Macaca mulatta: one gene and its partners. The protein of the gene in region 2 interacts with the protein of the main gene of each other region in a pairwise test. Links are inferred from orthologs where the notes say so. Each region holds a gene or a part of one and is shown on either strand. Other genes may lie near its edges.

Region 1 (4,717 bases), on a different chromosome or scaffold from region 2:
CATCATCTCCAAAATAACTTTTTATGCACCAGGCCCACTCAGACACTCCTATTGCAACAATTATTGGATCTCATTGAAACCTCCTATTCACCGATCCCTCCATTTCTATTCAGGAATTTCTACCTTCATGTCCTCTCTTATCTAGCTTGGATTCCATGGTCCATAATTATTATTGCACCCTTAAGATAGTCTTGGCTGGGCACAGTGGCTCATACCTGTAATTACAACACTTATGGAGGCCAAGCTGGGAGGATTGCTTAGAACAGGAGTTCAAGACTGGGCAACATAGTGAGACCCAGTCTCTCCAAAAATAAAATAATTAGCCAGGTGTGGCAAACTCGTCCCAGATACTCAGGAGGCTGAGGTGGGAAGATTTCTTGAGCCCAAGAGTTTGAGGTTACAGTAAGCCCATATCCACCTCTTCAATATCATCTTGCTTAGCATGTTACAGGTTTATTGGCCTTTTCTCTGTTTAACATAGGAGCTAACTTTCTGTCTCAGGACTTTTCCATATGCTGTTTTCTATTCCTAGAACATTCTTCTCCAGGCCATCTCCTTCATATTCCCACTCACCCAGTTCACTTGGGTGAGTTACTTATCCTTCAATTCTCAATTTTTAATAAGTGACTTCTTCAGAGAACACAACTCCCCCCAGTCTAGATTATGTTCTCCATTTATATGCTATCATCATACCCTATACTTTCATTTATAGTACTTATCACAGTTGTTATTTTATTATTACTGTTGGGACTGTTTAATTAACAGCTGTCTCCCATCCCCAATATCTAGTATTATGACCCACTCAATAAATAGTTGTTAAATGAATGAATGAACGCTCACACCAATAGGAACTTTTACAACAGGAACAAGATTTTCTGGAGACACCATTACTTCCGTATATCCATCTTCTTTCCCTGAGTCTACATATTTTTTCTTCCAGATGCCAAATACCTGAGAAGGCTCTTCTCCATAGAATAATGAATAAAGAAACAGAACGTCCAATTCAGCACCCCCAGCCTAGGGGCTGCTTTGCCAGATCTCTAGCCATTAATGTTGTCCTAGAGTGTCTATGAAGTTGAAAGTGAAGACAATAGCTTTATTTAGTTTGGAGGAAGCTAAGAAAGATCAAATCAGATGGAAAAAGCTTACAACCTTGGAGACCTAGTCCAGAGGTGTCTGGTTATAAACTCAAAGGAAATAAAGGTATTTCTTTGGACATAGCAATCTTTAGTGATTGATTTTTTTTTTTTGATGAATTCCTTTTTTTTTTTTTGCCATAGATAAAGCCAAAGACCAGACACATTTCAATCCCACAACAGTCACCTGGTGACTGAACCATCAAAAAGATCAGCATATTAGGGGAAAGGTTTATCTGCTCTGTTGGTCAGCTATTAGGAACCTACTCCACCACCATATTCCTTTCTACCCTACAGTCTCAGTTTTCCAATTCTATAGCCTAGGTACCATTTAGTGTGTTGATAATATGTGTTAGGCACCTTTGTACCCATAGCTGAAGTTACATGGAGGGTGTGTTCCAGTTCTATCTCATAACCCCTCTTTCTTGCTCCTCACCTTGTGAGCAGCAATAGCTTCCTTCTGCATGTTCCTCAGGGACTGAAGCTCCTTCAGAGTTGTCTCCAGTTGACCCTGTTGGATGGCAAGCTCCTCCTGGGAATACCAAATAGAATTAACCCACACTGACTCAGGAGATGAAGGACCATAAACGACATCTTCCCCAAGGCCCCAGTGTGCAAGAAAAAAGCAAGCTCTTGCTGCAAAAATCTTCCCCTTCCCTTGTATCATAGTTTTTGTCTCGTTCAAGAATTGTGGAAAAGAAAAGAAAAAAAAAAAAAAAGAGGCCAGGTGTGGCAGCTCACATCTGTAATCTCAGCACTTTGGGAGACTGAGATGGGAGGATCACTTGGGTCTAGGAGTTTGAGACCAGCCTGGGCAACATGGTGAGACCCCCATCTCAAAAAAAAAAAAAAAGAATTACAGCTTAAAACTTAGTTTTTCTCTCTTAATAGCTAGCTACAGGGGTTCGAAGAAAGGAATAGAACTTTACACATTTTCCACTCTAGTTATATGCTATTCTCAGAATCTATAATTTTACTTGTGTTGTTCTCACTTGGAACACTTGTTTCTTCCTTATGCCCTTCCAAATCCAAATGATTTCCCAGTTCAAGTCCTTTCCCTTTCTTTCACTATATGTCCCCTGACAATTTCGTCTTTCTCTAGTCATTTCAGAAATTCTAAACCCTTAAGAATTACAAATGTGACAAAATTTAACTTTTAATAGTAGACTATCTTACATTGTTTCTGTTGTTTTCTTCATTTTAAACTTAACCAATTTTTGAATTTTTTTATAATAAGAGCAATATCGTATATATCCGTGTTCTACACAGTGTTTAGCAGAGTGCTACCATGGCAGAGTTTAGGTACAGATTTAATTGAGGGAGTAAGCCAGGGCTCCTCCACTGTTCCTTTCCTATAAGCAGCAACTCTAGAAAAAGAACTTTGCAAGATACGTTGTACTTTCTGAGCAGTCTGGGTTTTCTAATCATCATTTGAATAAAGGGATGGGGTTCAAAGAAAGAAGAAGCCCTATAAAATATTTTTCCTAGTTTTTCTAAGGGATTGTTCAAGGCCCAGGGCTCACCCACCGTGAAGAAATGGACAGCATCAGAGATTTGCAGGAACTCCTTAGACTGCCCCACAGACAACCGAGCATCCTTGCATTGAAAGCAGATCAGTTTCCCATCTGGTTTACTGAACAGTTTCAGGTTCTCTCCATGCTCTGGGCACTGTGGATGGCCCTTGAGTAGGGGTAACTTCTTAATCTTCTCTACCAACTTGTCCAGTACAAGGTTGAATGTACAGTTGCTATACTGACATAGCATCTTGCAGTCAGGACAGAATGTTTCCTTTGCTTGCAGCCTCCAAAAGTCTTGGATACAGGCTTGACAGAAGTTGTGGCCACAGCTTAGCATCAGTGGGTCATGGAACCAATCGTTGCACAGTGGGCAGTGTAGCTCCATAGTAATATCTTGTATCACCACTTTAGAAGGTAGGTGGGCGATTGAATCGTTAATTTCAACATAGTTGCCTGGATCGATGTTGGAGGAGTTGGAGGATACCTTTAGAAAAGAACAGCTAGAATGAGTTTATCTTTCTTTTTGCCCATTTTAACACTCCAGGATGATGGGCTCCATTCCTAAAGGAGCTGAAAATTGGTACAACTAAAGTAAAAGCACATAATCTGTCCTTTGAAAGTGAACCAGTAAATTGAGTGTTTTCTGACATTATGGCATATGATGCTATTTAAACTTTAATGAAGAATCAAAGTAGAGGAAAAAACAGTACTAAGTCAAAGAAATGTACTTTGTTGTACATCTCTCTCTTTACCCACTTTCCCCATGTATCTGTTGAAAGTTTTATTTTCAGCTTCTGCTCTACTAGTTATTACCTTTATTCTATTTTTGTTTTCTAGAAATTATGTATGAAGAATTGGAAAATCAATCAGATTTCTCAGTCAGTAGTATTATATTATCAACCATCCAGGGTCCTCTTCACTCCTTTTTAAAAAACACATTTCAGGCCGGGCGCGGTGGCTCACGCCTGTAATCCTAGCACTTTGGGAGGCCAAGGTGGGCGGATCATGGGGTCAGGAGATCGAGATCATCCTGGCTAACACAAGTGAAACCCAGTCTCTACTAAAAATATAAAAAATTAGCCAGGCATGGTGGCGGGCGCCTGTAGTCCCAGCTACTCAGGAGGCGAGGCAGGAGAATGGCATGAACCCAGAGGCAGAGCTTTCAGTGAGCCGAGATTGTGCCACTGCGCTCCAGCCTGGGCAACAGAGCAAGACTCTGTCTCAAAAAAAAAAAAAAAAAAAAAAAAAAAAACCACACACATTTCAGAAACATAAATACAGAAGCTGGCGCAGTGACTCATACCTGTGGTCCCAACTACTCGGGAAAGGAAACTAGGAAGTACCTCAAAGTCATATAAATAAGTAGAGACCAGTGAAAAAGTAGCTACATAGGTAAAGTCCAATAATGCAGTTTTTGGTTTCTAACTCCTCTTTTTCCCCTATTCAATTTAAAAGACAAACGCACAAAACAATAGTTATGTGTGTTAATGGATATGCAATGTGTAAAGAGATAATTTGTGATAATAACAACAAAAAGGAGAGAACAGAGCTGAAAAGGAGCAGTTTTTATAGTAAAAATTTTTGCCTTGTACTATTAAAACTAAGTTGGCATTAATTCACCCTTGATCATTATAAAGTTGACTAATTATAACCCTCAGGTAAATACTAAAGAAAAAACTACTAAGCAATATAAAGAAAAAGAAAAGAGAAAGGAATCAAAATGTTATGCTAGAAAAAAATCAATTAATCACAAAAAAGGGAAGTAATGAAAGAATTTAGAAACAAAAAAGCACATAGAGAAAATAAATAACAAAATGGCATAGGTAAGTCTTTCCTTATCAGTAATTACTTTAGATGAAATAGATTAACTTCTGACTGAAAGGCAGAGATTAGGAAAATGGATAAAAATAATATGAACCGGCCGGGCGCGGTGGCTCAAGCCTGTAATCCCAGCACTTTGGGAGGCCGAGACGGGCGGATCACGAGGTCAGGAGTTCGAGACCATCCTGGCTAACATGGTGAAACCCCGTCTCTGCTAAAAAATGCAAAAAACTAGCCGGGCGA
Region 2 (5,332 bases):
ACACAGCCAGTCCACCTTCAGGGATGCAGACAACCTCATCTGGGATCTAAGCATCCGGGAGAGTGGGGATGGGGAAATGGAGGAAGAACACCCTTGGGGTTCATTCTGGGCCCGTTTGCCAGGCTTTTCTCCCCATGCCTATCTTCCAGTGCCACTTAGCAGAATCATACCTTCACATCAGTTTTTATGTTTTTCTTTTTCTTTTCTTTTCTTTTTTTAAAAATAAAGATGGCGTGCCTGTAATCCCAGCACTTTGGGAGGCGAGGCGGGCGGATAACCTGAGATCCGCAGTTCAAGACCAGCCTGGCCAACATGGTGAAACCCGGTCTCTACTAAAAATTTAAAAATTAGCCGGACGCTGGTAGCTCACGCCTGTAATCCCAGCTACTTGGGAGGCTGAGGCACGAGAATCGCTTGAACTCGGGAGGCGGAGGTTGCAGTGAGCCGAGATTGTGCCACTGCATTCCAGCCTGGCGACAGAGTGAAGATTCTGTCTCAAAAAAAAAGAGAGAGAGAGAGAGAGAGGGACGGGATCTTGCTATGTTACCCAGGCTAGTCTTGAACTCCTGGGCTCAAGCAATCCTCCTGCCTCGGTCTCCCACAGTGTTGAGATTACAGGTGTGAGCCATTGTTCCAAAAATTGATATGCCCGGCCTCACATCAATTTTTGGAACAATGCAGGTAATAACGAGCGGAAAAAAAAGTTTTAAAAGTCCCAATTACCCTTCAAACAAATATTACCTCCTCCAAAAAATATTTTTCTAGATTCCTGATTGTCTTTTTAGGTGGAGGAGGAACTCAAAGTAGAATTCATTTACATATTCATTCATTCATTCCACAGCACTAATCACTCCATGCGGTAACTCTGTGTCCCCATCTCTCTCAGATTTAGTACCTGGAAAACAGCCATTCTGTCTTAATTCAATTGGTATCCCCAGGGCGCATTTCTTTGCCTTGAAAATTGAGTACCCAACAAATGTGCGTCGAGCAAAACTACATGAGATGGCGAACAGGGGTTTAAGGGTATGGGGGAGAGTCAGCAATGACTGGTGTTCTCCCTCCCTCCCCGAGCTCTGCTCCTAAAGATCCAGGACGCCTAGCGAGGGTAGGAACCTCTTCGGTGCTTCCGCAACGCTCTGAACAGCACGGCACTGAGCGCATCTAATTAAAGTGATGGTTTCATTAGATAGCAACTCAGCGAGACCCTGTTTCTACAAAAAATAAAAAATTAGCTGGGCGTGGTTGCTCGAGCCTCTAGTCCCAGCTACTTGGGAGACTGAGGCAGAAGGATCGCTTGAGCCTAAGAGTTCGAGGTTGCTGTGAGCTATGATCGCGCCACTGGGCTCCAGCCTGGGCGACAGAGCAAGATCCTCTCTCTCTAAAAAAAAAAAAAAACAAAAATAAAATAATGGTTTAATTGCCGGCCTTTGCCCCTTCTGCCCCCCACCCCCCACAAGTCTGTAGGACCGGGTTGACTTCCCAGAGCTTAGTACAGATTAGATGCTAAATAAATGTGTGTTGGACGGATGGGCGAATGAATGGATGGATGGAGGATGTGGTTGTGCTTACCATGCTTCCCGGTCAGCGGGTTAATGTCGTCAGGAGGGGCCAGGCTCGCTAACAGCCGGGCGGGGTCCCTTCCCCCGGGCCCCGCCCCGGCCGACCCCACCTTTCCGCGCGGCTCCGCCCCGCCGCCCCCTTCCCAGTGGCCCCTCCCCGCGCAGGTCCCGACTCCAGCCGCACCTCCTCTGGCTCTGCAGTGGCGGCGGGGAGGCGAGCCGGAGCGACTGCGGGGCCGGGACCGGAGCAGAGCCGGGGTCGGGCAGCAGCAGGGACCCCCGGAGGCGGGGCCTGTGGGACCGCTATGGGCGTGGAGATCGAGACCATCTCCCCCGGAGACGGTACCGGGCTCCCTCCGGAGCCGGGGGAGGGGAGGGGTCCCCGGGCGGAGCCCGGAGGGCGGGGGTCTGATTCGGAGGTGGCGCGGAGGGTGCTGAAGGGTCGGGGGGCTGGATGCGGAGGGCAGGCGGAGACCCCGGACGGGATTCTTGGGGGTCTAGGAGACCATCCTCCACCATCCTCTTCCGCGACTCACCTAGGGGAATGTAGGTGGCAGCCTGGAGGCGGGGGTCTGCGGCCCGGAGCCGGGGGTCTGCGGCCCACCACCCCGGGCTGCTCCTGTCGCCGCTGCTACCGTTCGGTTATCCGCTGCTGCTGATACCCCAGGCTGGGTTTCGGCTTAGCTTTCCCTGCCCTGCTCGGCGAGCTCTGGAAAGCAGGACCTGCTCTCGGGTCTCCGCTGCTCCGGGACCTCCTCCTAGCGCGTCCCCCGCCGGGCCTCCTGTCGGTCGCTTCCCTGTGGGCCGGGCTGTGAGCGGCTGTGGGGACAGACCCAGGCTGGGAAAGGGGGAAGCGCTCCCTTGCCGGCTTCCGGATCTCGCTTTATCCTCCCGCCGCGTTCAGACTCCCTGGCCACCCTGTCCACTCCCATGGCCTCCACATTGAAGCTTCTAAGCCCAGCCCTGCGACCTGCGGCCGGACCTCTCCCTGGAGGTCCCAAGGTGCTCCCTAGTCAGCAAATCCAAAACAGAACTTGCGCTTCCCACCTTCTCCCCTAAGTGATCCTCCTCATCCCCCTTCCTTATCTCACTTTCCCAAGCCCTTGTATTACTGGGTCTGGGTGTGCAAGGAATAGCCATTTCTTTATTTCTTGAAATTTAATTCATACCAAAGCTCCCATTGTCTGCAGGGTTTGATGGGCAAACTTCATATCAGATATTATTAATATGAACAGCTCCCCTGCCCAGGAAATTGGAGAACTTCTTGGCTCCAGGCCATGCTCCTTGTCCAATCCCAACCACTACTTTGGATATCCCCTGGGGTACAGGATTCTTTGCCCACGCAGGAAACCTTGATGCTGGGTCCCAGAAAGCGTCTCCCTGAGGCCTTTTCATCCCCCAGCAGCCACTGAGCTAATCTCCCCATCTTCAGCCTCTCCTCCCTGCCTTCAATCTCATCCCCAATCTCATATTCACTCCCTTTCTACATCATAGCCTGAAGACTCTTCTTAAAATGTGGTGGCTCATGCCTGTAATCCCACCACTTTGGGAGGCCGAGGCGGGTGGATCACAAGGTCAGGAGTTCAAGACCAGCCTGACCAACATGGTGAAACCTGTCTCTACTAAAAATACAAAAATTAGCTAGGCGTGGTGGTGCATGCCTGTAATCCCAGCTACTGGGGAGGCTGAGGCAGGAGAATGGCTTGAACCCAGGAGGCAGAGGTTGCAGTGAGCCGATTGTGCCACTGCACTCCAGCCTGGGTGACAGAGCGAGACTCGTCTCAAAAATAAGAAGAAGAAGAAGAAAACAAATGCATATTTGACCATGCCCCTCCCTCAGGTAGAAGATGTTTTAAATGATTCTTCCCTCTCCCCCAGGCAGAGGGGCCTTTGGTGCTGTGGTCTATTCTCATCTTCCACACTAGAGCTTCATCTCTCACCACCTGTCCTGAGCCCACCACCAACTTTTTCTCCAGCTTTCCCAAGCTGCCTGCAAGTTGTCGAACACACCACTCATTCAGCAAATATTTATTGAACGTGTGTGCTAGGCCCTAAGGTGACAGCGTTGAAACAGACAGGGTCCCCGCTATTGCTGGACTGAAGGCCTTTGAACATGTTACATGTCATTCCCTCTTCCCAGATGGTGTTTTTTTACTTCCTCTGGCAAATTCTTACTTGTCTTTCAAGACCTGGCTTCGCCATTCTCTCCTCTATGATATTTTCCTTGACTTCTGCAGTCAGTTAGCTGCTCCCTCCTCCAGGCTCCCATAAAGTCCTCTAAATGTTGGCTCTGTGGTTAGCCTTCCTTAGGCTTTGTTATCTAGCCCCATAGCTTTAAATTCCAGCCAAATTTATATCTCCAGTGCAGACTCTTCATCTGCCTACTTGCAATATAAACTCAGATGTCTAATAGGCATCTCAAGATTGCCACCCGCACAAATCTGTTCCTCCTGTCTTCCCTATCTCAGGAAATAGTTCCACTATTCATCCAGTTGCCCAAACAGAAAACCCAAGCATCGTTCTTGTTGTCTCCTTTGTCCTCATCCTGGACCCCATTTCCAATTTGATTGCATGCCCTGTCAGCTCTGCTTCCAAAATATGTCTCCAGTCTATTTCACTCTCTTCTCTGCTGCCACCACCTTAAATCAAGCTATCATTGATTTCTTGTCTGGATTATTGCAACAGACGCCTTACTGTCCATCCTACACATAGCAGTCAGAGTGATGTTATAAAATCTTAATTCGGATTATGTCATTCTCTGGCTTAAAACCCTCCAGTGGTTTCCTATTGCACTTAGTATGAAATCCGGCTCTGCAAGCCCTGTATGATCCATCTCCTTCCCACCTCTGTCCTCCCTCCCTTCTTTCCACTTAACCTCCTTGCTCGCTGCAAATGGATTGATTCTGTGCACTTGTTACTCCTTCCCCAAGTGCTAATTCCCAGTATTTTGCTCATCCTTCAAGTCCTAGCTCCAGGGGCACCTTCTTCAAGAGGCCATCCTGGACCACTCTGTCTGAAATGGTCTGTCCCACTGCATCTCCCTTTAATACATCATTGTGTGTGTTTTCTTTAGAGTATTCATCATAATCCATAATCGTTTTGCATATTTAAGTATTGTCTCTGTCCATTAGAATATAAAGTCCATGGCAGGTGTGGTGGCTCATGCCTATAATCTCAACACTTTGGGAGGTTGAGATGGTAGGAGCTCTTGAGCCCAGGAGTTCAAGGCCAGCCTGGACAACATGTCAAGACCCTGTCTCTACAAAATTTTTTTTTTTTAATTAGCTGGGCATGGCAGCATGCACTTGCAGTCCCAGCTACTCAGAAAGCAGAGGCAGAAAGATTGCTTGAGCCCATGAGGTCAAGGCTGCACTGAGCCAAGATCATGCTATTGCACTCCAGCCTGGGTGACACACTGAGACCCCTACTCTTACAAAAAAAAAAAAGTAAACTCTAAAAGAACAGGGATAGAGATCTTGTTTGTAGTGTTCACTGCTGTATCCCTGTGATCAGGCACAGGCATGGCACCCCATAGGTACTCAGTAAATATTTGTGGTTTTGTTTTGTTTTGTTTTGTTTGTTTGTTGAGACAGGGTCTTACTCTGTCACCCAGGCTAGAGTGCAGTAGCATGAACACAGCTCACTGCAGCCTTGACCTCCTGGGCTCAAACAATCCTTCCACTTCAGTCTCTTGAGTAGCTGGGGCTATAGGTGTGCAGCATCACACCTGGCTAATTGAAAAGAATTTTTTTTTTTTTTTTTAAGAGATGGGG
Region 3 (4,717 bases), about 37 Mb from region 2:
ATACTTGAAAAAATTCATATGGAAAAGAGTCACTCAATTGCTCATTTTGCATACTGCCAATACCTGAATACTGACTATCTTGAACAAAACTATGACTGTTTGGATTAGTACTGTTTGATGGGCCCGACTCATTTATCATGCTGTTATCTGCACAACTGAAGTCAGATCCCTCAAATGCATCTGATTGTGAAACAAAAACAGTAGTATTGGAATTGGCACCTGCCGACATACTGGAAGAGGACATCTGATGGAGCTGTCTCAAGTCTCTTGGGTCTAACACTGAATTACATGAGGGGTTTTCAAGATTCATGCTCAGAAGTCTTGGATTATCCGTCTCTTCCATGCTATCATTGCTGGTTGCCATCATATTCACAGAACAATTAGACAGCATGTTGTGATCAGAAATACCATATAAGTCTGCTGGTGGCATGGATGACGCTTCCATTCCAACTATGTCATCGGCATTGTTATAAATGCAAGCGTTAGAAGCATTTAAATCATTCCCAATAGGTATTCTCAGGAATGGTGGGATACCTTGCGAATTAGAAGGAAGTGTCCCTGTTGAAAAACTACTCAGTGGGTTTGTATTGCCTGAGCGTGGGGTGGGGTGGGCCACTGATGACCAGCTTGAAGAAGGAAGAGGTGTCATTGAGGCATGATGTGACAATCCACTTGAGATGGGCCCAGGTGAGGGATAGTAGGATTCTGCTTGACTTGAAACCCCTGTAGGCATTTCTCTCACAACTGCATCATGAGAAAACAAGTTTGGTTCTGTGGGAGGAAAAATTTGTTTTACAAAATTAAAAGGAACAAAATTATAAAAAGTATTTCTAAATTAAAATTGCATAAGCACACAAATATATATAAAGAAAAATGTCAGGGAAACCAATGTAACATTTCAAATAAAAAAGTGTTAAAAGCACTAAAATTATTACACGAATCCAAAATGAAATTCTGTAACATACATACCATTTTACAAATACAGGTAAAATGATTTTTGCAAGTTACTTTGGCATATGTAATGTCACTCCAGTTAAATATGAAAATCTAGTTTCTGAGGCTCTATAAAGGTATTTTTGAAAACTAAAAGATAAATATTAGAATTACAATTAATGGGACTCCAAATAGCCAAAATCATCTCTTAGGAGAAAATGGAAGGATGGAGAAAACACTCATTAGGGATAAGAAAATACATACAACTTTTAAGATATATTACGACAGAACCCTAAGAGACTATAAAATTCACAGTCAGAAAAAATTACAGAAAAAATTAATTCTGTATTTATTTACATATTATACAAATGCTTTATGAACTAAACCAGGAAAAAGCACTGATTTAAGAATGTACATGGGGGAAAAAGACTTCTAATTAGCCCTTGGTTGAATTATCTAAACTAGGAATTGGTAATTTTTTTTTTCTGTAAAAAGTCAGATTGTAAATATTTTAGGCTTTGTGAGCTATATACAGCCTCTGTTCGAACTATTCAACCCTGTTACCATAGTGTTATAAAAAAAAAAGCAGTTTAGAGATAATATTTAATCAAATATTCATAGCCATGTTCCAGTAAAATTTTATTTATAAAAATAGGTAACTAACCAAATCAATAACATTTTTTTCCATGACGCAATGTAACTAATAAAATCACTACCATATGAATGACATGTAATTTCTTGAACAATAAATTCCAAAAACACGATTGGTTTCTAACACAACCTTCAGAAGTCATGCTTAATTTATTCTATACTGAAAGCATGAAAAATTTGGAGAGAAAATTTTCAAAGAAGCAGTTATTCATTCCTAAAAACAGAATTCCAATATATTGTGCACAGCACTGGTCTTTCTGATCACAAGAAATATGCTATAGGAAATAAAATACCTTTTTTGAAGTATCTTCCTTCTCCAATTGAACCGAGGAGACCAGGTCTTGGTCTCTCAGGAAAATTAACTGTTAGGATAAAGTTTTTCCATTATTAAATGGCATCTGAAAAATAACATTATCAGTTAAAATCTGAAAAACTGGCAGGGAGTGGTGGCTCCCACCTGCACTTTGGGAGGCCGAGGTGGGTGGATCACCTGAGGTCAGGAGTTCAAGACCATCCTGGTCAACAAGGCAAAACCCCGTTTCTACTAAAAATACAAAAATTAGCCGGGTGTGGTGGCACACACCTGTAATCTCAGTTACCCGGAAGGCTGAGGCAGAATTGTTGAACCTGCAAGGGGAGAGGTTGCAGTGAGTTGAGACTGCCCCACCGCACTCCAGCCTGGGTGACAGACAGAGACGCTGTCTCAAAAAACAAACAAAAACAAAACAAAACAAAAATAATAAAATTTGAAAAACTGAATACAGTAAATAAAACAAAACCTATTTAAATATGAATCGATCCAAAATATTCTTACCGTGATCCTGGCACAGTTTCTGGAAAAGCAGAGTTGTCTTTTGTTTCTTTGCTTTATTGCCATAAGTATCTGATTAGAAAGAAACCAGGAAAGCAGACAAAAAATTATAGGATTGTTTCCTCTCCTTTAATAAACAAATATTTTATTCACATATAGAAAATGTTTTCAATAAATACATATGTAATTCAGATTAAATAAGTATTATAGAATACGTCCCAAATCAGTAGTATCAGTAGAAAAGGATATTTTTCTCTTAGTAAAAAATTGTTTAAAGTAATCCCAGCACTTTGGGAGGCTGAGGCAGGTGGATCACTTGAGCCCAGGAGTTTGAGGCCAACCTGAGCAACATGGCAAAACCCTGTCTCCATAAAAAACAGAAAAACTGGCGGGGTGCAGTGGCTCATGCCTGCAATCCCAGCACTTTGGGAGGCTGAGGCAGGTGGATCACCTGAGTTCAGGAGCTTGAGACCAGCTTGGCCAACATGGTGAAACCCCATCTCTACTAAAAATAATACAAAATTAGTTGGGTGTGGTGGCACATGCCAGTAGTCCCAGCTAATCAGGAGGCTGAGACAGGAGAACTGCTTGAACCCAAGAGGCAGAGGCTGCAGTGAGCCGGGATTACGTCACTGTACTCCAGCCTGGGCAAGACAGAGTGAGACTCCATCTCAAAACAAAAAAACAAAAAAATCCCACCAAAATTAGCCAGGTGTGGTGGTGTGCACCTGTAGTCCCAGGTACTCAGGAGGCTGAGGTGGGATGATCACCTGAGCACAGGAGGTTGAAGTTCTGGTAAACCATGATCATGCCACTGTACTCCAGCTTGAGTGACAGAGTGAGACCCTGTCTCAAAAAAACCCAAAACAAACTGTTCAAAATATTCATCTTGTTTTCTTATCACACAAGTCAGTAATGTCAACTAGTGCAATAAGGTTTGATAAGAAACCAATATAGAGACTATTCTCTGAGTGGTAAGTGCACAAGGACTAAAATAGACCTTCAAAAATAAAACAGAAATTTTAGTAAGCAGTTTAGATACTTTGAAATTATTCCATCCTAATCAAACCTCTTTCTGAAGAAAGAGATGCAGAGACAAGTCTAGCCAACATGGTGAAACCCTGGCTCTACTAAAACTACAAAAGTAGCCTGGCGTGGTGGCACGTGCCTGTATAGTCCCAGCTACTCGGGAGGCTGAGGCAGGAGAATCGCTTGAACCCGGGAGGTGGGGGTTGCAGTGAGCTAAGATTGTGCCACTGCACTCTAGCCTGGGTGACAGTGAGACTCTGTCTCAAAGAAAAACGAAAAACAAAAAAACAAAACAAAACCAAAAAAACAAAGAAATGCAAAGAGCATAAAGAAAAAACCCAACAGAAAGCTTCCAGGAAAAGAAACATAAATTGTGAATATACATAACTGTACTCAAATGAATCTTACAAGATGTTATTAGCAGGACCACTTTAAGAAATATATAAATTATCACCAGCAAAATGTCATACCTTTTTCATCTGGCAGATATCTAAAATCCATAGATTCACTAACTTCCTGGTCAGAAGGTCTCCGCAACTGCATTTTTACTGTTACGGGTTCTGTGATAGCTTTGCAATATGGCGGAGTTTTGAAAACAATGGCTACTTGACGGTGTACATCAGCTTGTGAAAAGATGCCTTTTGCTTCCCAATCGTTCAACACAAAACGAACTTCTATGTCATCTAGTGAATAAGAAACCAAAAAAATAATAATGGGAAAACAAAGTAACTGCATCTATTAATCTAAAATTTATTCTAAATTCAATGAAATAAATAAATACCTTTCTGAACTTTGTCGCAAAGTAGAAATATTTCATCTCCTCCTCTGACACTTCCACAATTCTTGTTTACACGACAAATCCTTAATTCTGCAGTATTTGGCGCACCTAAATAAAAAGGATTTTCAAAAAAACGAGTTGCTACCTTAGTAATATTTTATTTCTTTTTGCAGGGGAGAATTTGAGGAAAACCATATACAGAATAAAAGTTTTAGTGTATAAAGAACACTAAATACATTAATCATCTATGTATCTGTCCACTTCCTTTCTAACTGCTTTACTTCAGACTTTGTGGCTTCATTTCTAGGTAATGACATATTCTTTAATTACATCTCCCTGCTTCTAAATTCTGATTCTGCCAGTCAATCCTATGCACTGTCACCAGATTAATCTTCATAAATCATGACCATATCTCTATGGCAATACAATTTTCCCTACGGCAATACATCTCCCTATGGCAATACAGCTTTCATGCTTCCTATTATGTGGCCATAAGATTATTATAATTATTCCTG
Region 4 (4,717 bases), on a different chromosome or scaffold from region 2:
ATGTTAGACCTAAAACCATAAAAACCCGAGAAGAAAACCTAGGCAATACCATTCAGGACATAGGCATGGGCAAGGACTTCATGTCTAAAACACCAAAAGCAATGGCAACAAAGTCAAAATTGACAAATGGGATCTAATTACACTAAAGAGCTTCTGCACAGCAAAAGAAACTACCATCAGAGTGAACAGGCAACCTACAGAATGGGAGAAATTTTTTGCAATCTACTCATCTGATAAAGGGCTAATATCCAGAACCTACAAAGAACTCAAACAAATTTACAAGAAAAAACCCCATCAAAAAGTGGGCAAAGGATATGAATAGACACTTCTCAAAAGAAGACATTCATACAGCCAACAGACACATGAAAAAATGCTCATCATCACTGGCCATCAGAGAAATGCAAATCAAAACCACAATGAGGTACCATCTCACACCAGTTAGAATGGCCGATCATTAAAAAGTCAGGAAACAACAGGTGCTGGAGAGGATGTGGAGAAATAGGAACATTTTTACACTGTTGGTGGGACTGTAAACTAGTTCAACCATTGTGGAAGACGGTGTGGTGAATCCTCAAGGATCTAGACTAGAAATACCATTTGACCCAGCCATCCCATTACTGAGTATATACCCAACAGATTATAAATCATGCTGCTGTAAAGACACATGCACACGTATGTTTATTGCAGCACTATTCACAATAGCAAAGACTTGGAACCAACCCAGATGTCCATCAGTGACATATTGAATTAAGAAAATGTGGCACATATACACCATGGAATACTATGCAGCCATAGAAAAGGATGAGTTCGTGTCCTTTGTAGAGACATGGATGCAGCTGGAAACCATCATTCTCAGCAAACTATCGCAAGGACAGAAAACCAAACACCGCACGTTCTCACTCATAGGTGGGAATTGAACAATGAGATCACTTGGACATAGTAAGGGGAACATCACACACTGGGGCCGGTTGTGGGGTGGGGGAGGGGTGAAGGATAGCATTAGGAGATATACCTAATGTAAATGAGTAGTTAATGGGTGCAGCACACCAACATGGCACATGTATACGTATGTAACCTGCACATTGTGCACATGTACCCTAGAACATAAAGCATAATTTAAAAAAAGAAATATTTTATTGGTTTTTGCTCTATTGCTCATTGCTATTACATCTAAATAAAAGATTATATATATAATTTATGCATTATAAATATATCTCATGCATAAATACATGCTTCATACATTAAACATGTATTTTTCCCCCATGCTTAGATCCAGTTTATTCCAGAAAAAAAAAAGCCAAAATTTTCTTCAAAGATCAAAAGCAACTATCAGTAGATGGAAAACTTTAAAATTTTTTCCTCCAATTTTTTTTTTTCTTGAGCTATGTATGAAGAAATCTATAGCTCAGACTGTGTCTGGTGTTAGTACGTATCAAGCTCTTTAGCCAGAAGGAAGAGCAAGGCCAATGAACCACATCCCTGGTACTTAGTTTCTTCTCACTTTCCCTGTATGAGAGAGTGCATGCACTGCTCAGCAAGGAGACTGCAGGGCAGGGATCTCTAGAATCCCCGGAGGACCAGGGGCTGCAGAGCAGTTACTTTGTCTTACAGAATGAAGTCTGAGATGAGAGAAGGGATTTATCTAGGGCCCACAGCTAGTAAATTATAATGTCAAGATCAAATCCTGGTTTTCTCACCCTTACAGGTAATATTTAATGTCATTGTTCCCTTTATTACACTACTTTTTTCACCCTAGGGTGACAGCTCTCTCAAAGTTCAGTCCTGGAACAGTATGTGTGATAATTCCATACTAACAGGATCATATAGTAATGGTACTAAAGCTTTTAATTTTTTTTTCTTCCCAGGATTCATACCTGTGTGTAGCCTTGGAGTGGCTCAAGTGGGCAGGATGAACTTTGGAAAGGATGTCAGCACCTTGAAATACTTCACCATCTGTGGCTTACAAGAGGGCTATGAACCATTTGCCGTTAATACAAACAGGGATATTACTATGTGGCTGAGCAAGAGGCTTCCTCAGTTTCTCCAAGTTCCATCAAACCATGAACATATAGAGGTTTGCTTTTTCTTTCAAAATCAGGTCATTTCTAAAAAGCAGGAAAAGAATATCTTTATACATAGGAACTTCTGCTTAGACAATTATTGTGACTTACTTAAAATGATGACCTTACACAGAAGTGGAATCTAAGCAAAGATGGCACTTTATACCAGCTGTCAGTGGATGGGAAACTTAAATTTTTGCTTTCAATTCTTTTTTTTCCCTTGAGCTATGTGTGAAGAAGTCTGTAGCTCAGACTGTGTGTGGGGTTTGTACGCATCAAGGTCTTTAGTTAGAAGAAAGATCAAGGCAAAGGGAGCCACATCCATTCTAATAAGCTACGTTACAAGAAGCTTATTAGAATGAGGAAAAATACTTTCCTTTTTATGTGTGGGCAATGTCAGGCCGAATCTGAATATATAGAATTATAAGATAAATTTCCGAAACCGTCTTTAGAGACAGAAGCAGAACTCTATGACTATATCCATAGCACAGTAATCTGTTTAATTATCTCTTACAAAATGATGCCATGCGTGGACTGATTTGGGATTCTGAAAACGTGATGTGCCTTAGGCATCTTTAGAATCAGGAAATCGACAACGGTGATTGGAATATGACCTATTGCTTCTTCATTTGCTAGGTGACCAGAATAGACGGCACCATAGACAGTTCCCCATGTTTAAAGGTCACTCAGAAGTCTTTTGGTTCTCAGAACAGCCACACTGATATCATGTTCTATCGCCTGAGCATGCCGATCGAGTGCGCGGAGGTCTTCTCCAAGACTGTGGCTGGAGGGCTCCCTGGGGCTGGCCTTTTTGGGCCCAAGAATGATTTGGAAGATTATGATGCTGATTCTGACTTTGAGGTTCTGATGAAGACAGCTCATGGCCATCTAGTGCCCGATCGTGTTGACAAAGACAAAGAAGCTACCAAGCCAGAGTTTAATAACCACAAAGATTATGCCCAGGAAAAGCCCTCTCGTCTGAAACAAAGGTTACTATTTTATACACTGTGATTTTAAGTTTGTAGTTAAGTGAGGAGGGTTACAGTCCAGAGTAAAGGGTCTCCTAGTGTAAGGTTTTTCCTCCCCCTCCTCCTCCTCCCCCTCCCCCTCCTCTTTGTGCAAAGGATTCTATAAGGAAAAATTAAGCAACCTGTTAGTCATCTAATTTGTTAGCGTAGATGCTATCTATCTCAATAGTTATTTTTTAAGATGTCTATGTTTACATTCTTGCCTGAAACTTGCAGAGTATTTTCTCCAAATAGTATTTTTTTATGATAAAGGCGGCAAGTTATTTTAACATCCTTTCTTATACTAAATCAGATTTTCTCAGTCTCAGCACTATCGACAGTTTAGGCCAGACAATTCTTTGTTGAGGAAACACCTTGGGCACTGAAGGATGCTGAGCAGCATCCTGACCTCCACCCACTAGATGCCAGTAGCACTCCATCCCCCACACTGTGAGAACCGAAAACATATATCTCCAGATATTCCCAGATGTCCCCCAGGGAGCAAAATCGCCCAGGTTTAAGGCAACTCAATTGATTCTATGCTCATATTTGAAGTAGACAGAACATTTTAATGTTGCTTATTGTTAGTCCTCTAAAATATTTCAGATTTTTGCTTAGAAGAACAAAGCCAGATTACAGCACGAGCCATTCTGCAAGACTCACCGAAGATGTCCTTGCTGATGATCGGGATGATTATGATTTCTTGATGCAAACGTCCACGGTATGAGGTTGCAGCTTTTGTCATTTATTTCTATTTGTCACTCATTATGCTTTACATCTCAAATAACACATACTGATTCATCATACTTAGTAATATTATTTTTTAAATGTCTGTTTCTATTTTGGGATATATTTTGGGGACTGAAAGTTTGAAAAAAGTTTATGTATTATGATAGATATTATGCAATAAAAGAGCTATTTTAGGAAAAATATTTTTAATGGCATGCATAATCTTAATTTTGCTATTCTGTTTCTTGACAAAATTTTAAGTTGCCCTTGAATTTTTCAACTACTTTCTTCATCTTACTGAATTGTCTAAAGGAAGATCAATTATCATAATTTGTGAGAGGTCAAGCTTTTGCACTCTTCCATTTTAAATTCTCAAGGCTGCTTCTCCTAAAATGCTACATTGAAAAAATATTTAGTTGTGTTCATTGTAGAGTGCTCCCATATTTTAGTTTGATGTTCACATGTTCTGAACTATTTCAAAATGAGTTTAGGCTGGGCACAGTGGCTCAAGCCTGTAATCCCAGTACTTTGGGAGGCTGAGGTGGATGGATCACCTGAGGTCAGGCGTTCGAGACCAGCCTGGCCAGCATGGTGAAACCCTGTCTCTATTAAAAATATAAAAATTAGGGGAGTGTGGTGGTGGGCACCTGTAATCCCAGCTACTAGGGAGGCTGAGGCAGGAGAATTGCTTGATCCCAGGAGATGGAGGTTGCAGTGAGCCGACACGGTGTCGCTGCACTGCAGCCTGGGCGACAGAGTGAGACTCCGTCTCAAAAAAAAAACCAGTGAATTTAAAGTGTCAAAATGTTATATGTCAGAGAAAGGAAAGGCCAAGAATGTGCAAAAAGGTGGGTGACAAGTATAAAAACCCAAACATTGGCCAGGTGCACTGACTCATGCCTGTAATCCCAGCACTTTGGG

Evidence for each region. The genes of interacting proteins can lie anywhere in the genome.
Region 1: the proteins of FKBP1B (region 2) and TRIM69 interact in binary tests that used the Homo sapiens proteins (3 or more experiments, as listed by UniProt). The two-hybrid records come from large-scale screens. The link is inferred for Macaca mulatta from reciprocal best matches to the Homo sapiens genes FKBP1B and TRIM69.
Region 3: the proteins of FKBP1B (region 2) and REL interact in binary tests that used the Homo sapiens proteins (3 or more experiments, as listed by UniProt). The two-hybrid records come from large-scale screens. The link is inferred for Macaca mulatta from reciprocal best matches to the Homo sapiens genes FKBP1B and REL.
Region 4: the proteins of FKBP1B (region 2) and RYR2 interact in binary tests that used the Homo sapiens proteins (3 or more experiments, as listed by UniProt). The link is inferred for Macaca mulatta from reciprocal best matches to the Homo sapiens genes FKBP1B and RYR2.

Annotation. Positions count from the first base shown.
Region 1 is NC_133412.1:22,160,195-22,164,911, reverse strand, and holds part of TRIM69 (E3 ubiquitin-protein ligase TRIM69), read right to left. Parts: intron 3,138-4,717; coding exon 2,664-3,137; intron 1,669-2,663; coding exon 1,573-1,668; intron 1-1,572.
Region 2 is NC_133418.1:100,989,886-100,995,217, reverse strand, and holds the start of FKBP1B (peptidyl-prolyl cis-trans isomerase FKBP1B), read left to right. Parts: upstream 1-1,726; 5' UTR 1,727-1,864; coding exon 1,865-1,901; intron 1,902-5,332. UniProt on the Homo sapiens protein: Has the potential to contribute to the immunosuppressive and toxic effects of FK506 and rapamycin. PPIases accelerate the folding of proteins. It catalyzes the cis-trans isomerization of proline imidic peptide bonds in oligopeptides.
Region 3 is NC_133418.1:63,861,866-63,866,582, forward strand, and holds part of REL (proto-oncogene c-Rel), read right to left. Parts: intron 4,311-4,717; coding exon 4,206-4,310; intron 4,108-4,205; coding exon 3,895-4,107; intron 2,468-3,894; coding exon 2,399-2,467; intron 1,947-2,398; coding exon 1,878-1,946; intron 772-1,877; coding exon 1-771. UniProt on the Homo sapiens protein: Proto-oncogene that may play a role in differentiation and lymphopoiesis.
Region 4 is NC_133406.1:11,499,892-11,504,608, reverse strand, and holds part of RYR2 (ryanodine receptor 2), read left to right. Parts: intron 1-1,865; coding exon 1,866-2,074; intron 2,075-2,696; coding exon 2,697-3,049; intron 3,050-3,673; coding exon 3,674-3,788; intron 3,789-4,717. UniProt on the Homo sapiens protein: Cytosolic calcium-activated calcium channel that mediates the release of Ca(2+) from the sarcoplasmic reticulum into the cytosol and thereby plays a key role in triggering cardiac muscle contraction. Aberrant channel activation can lead to cardiac arrhythmia.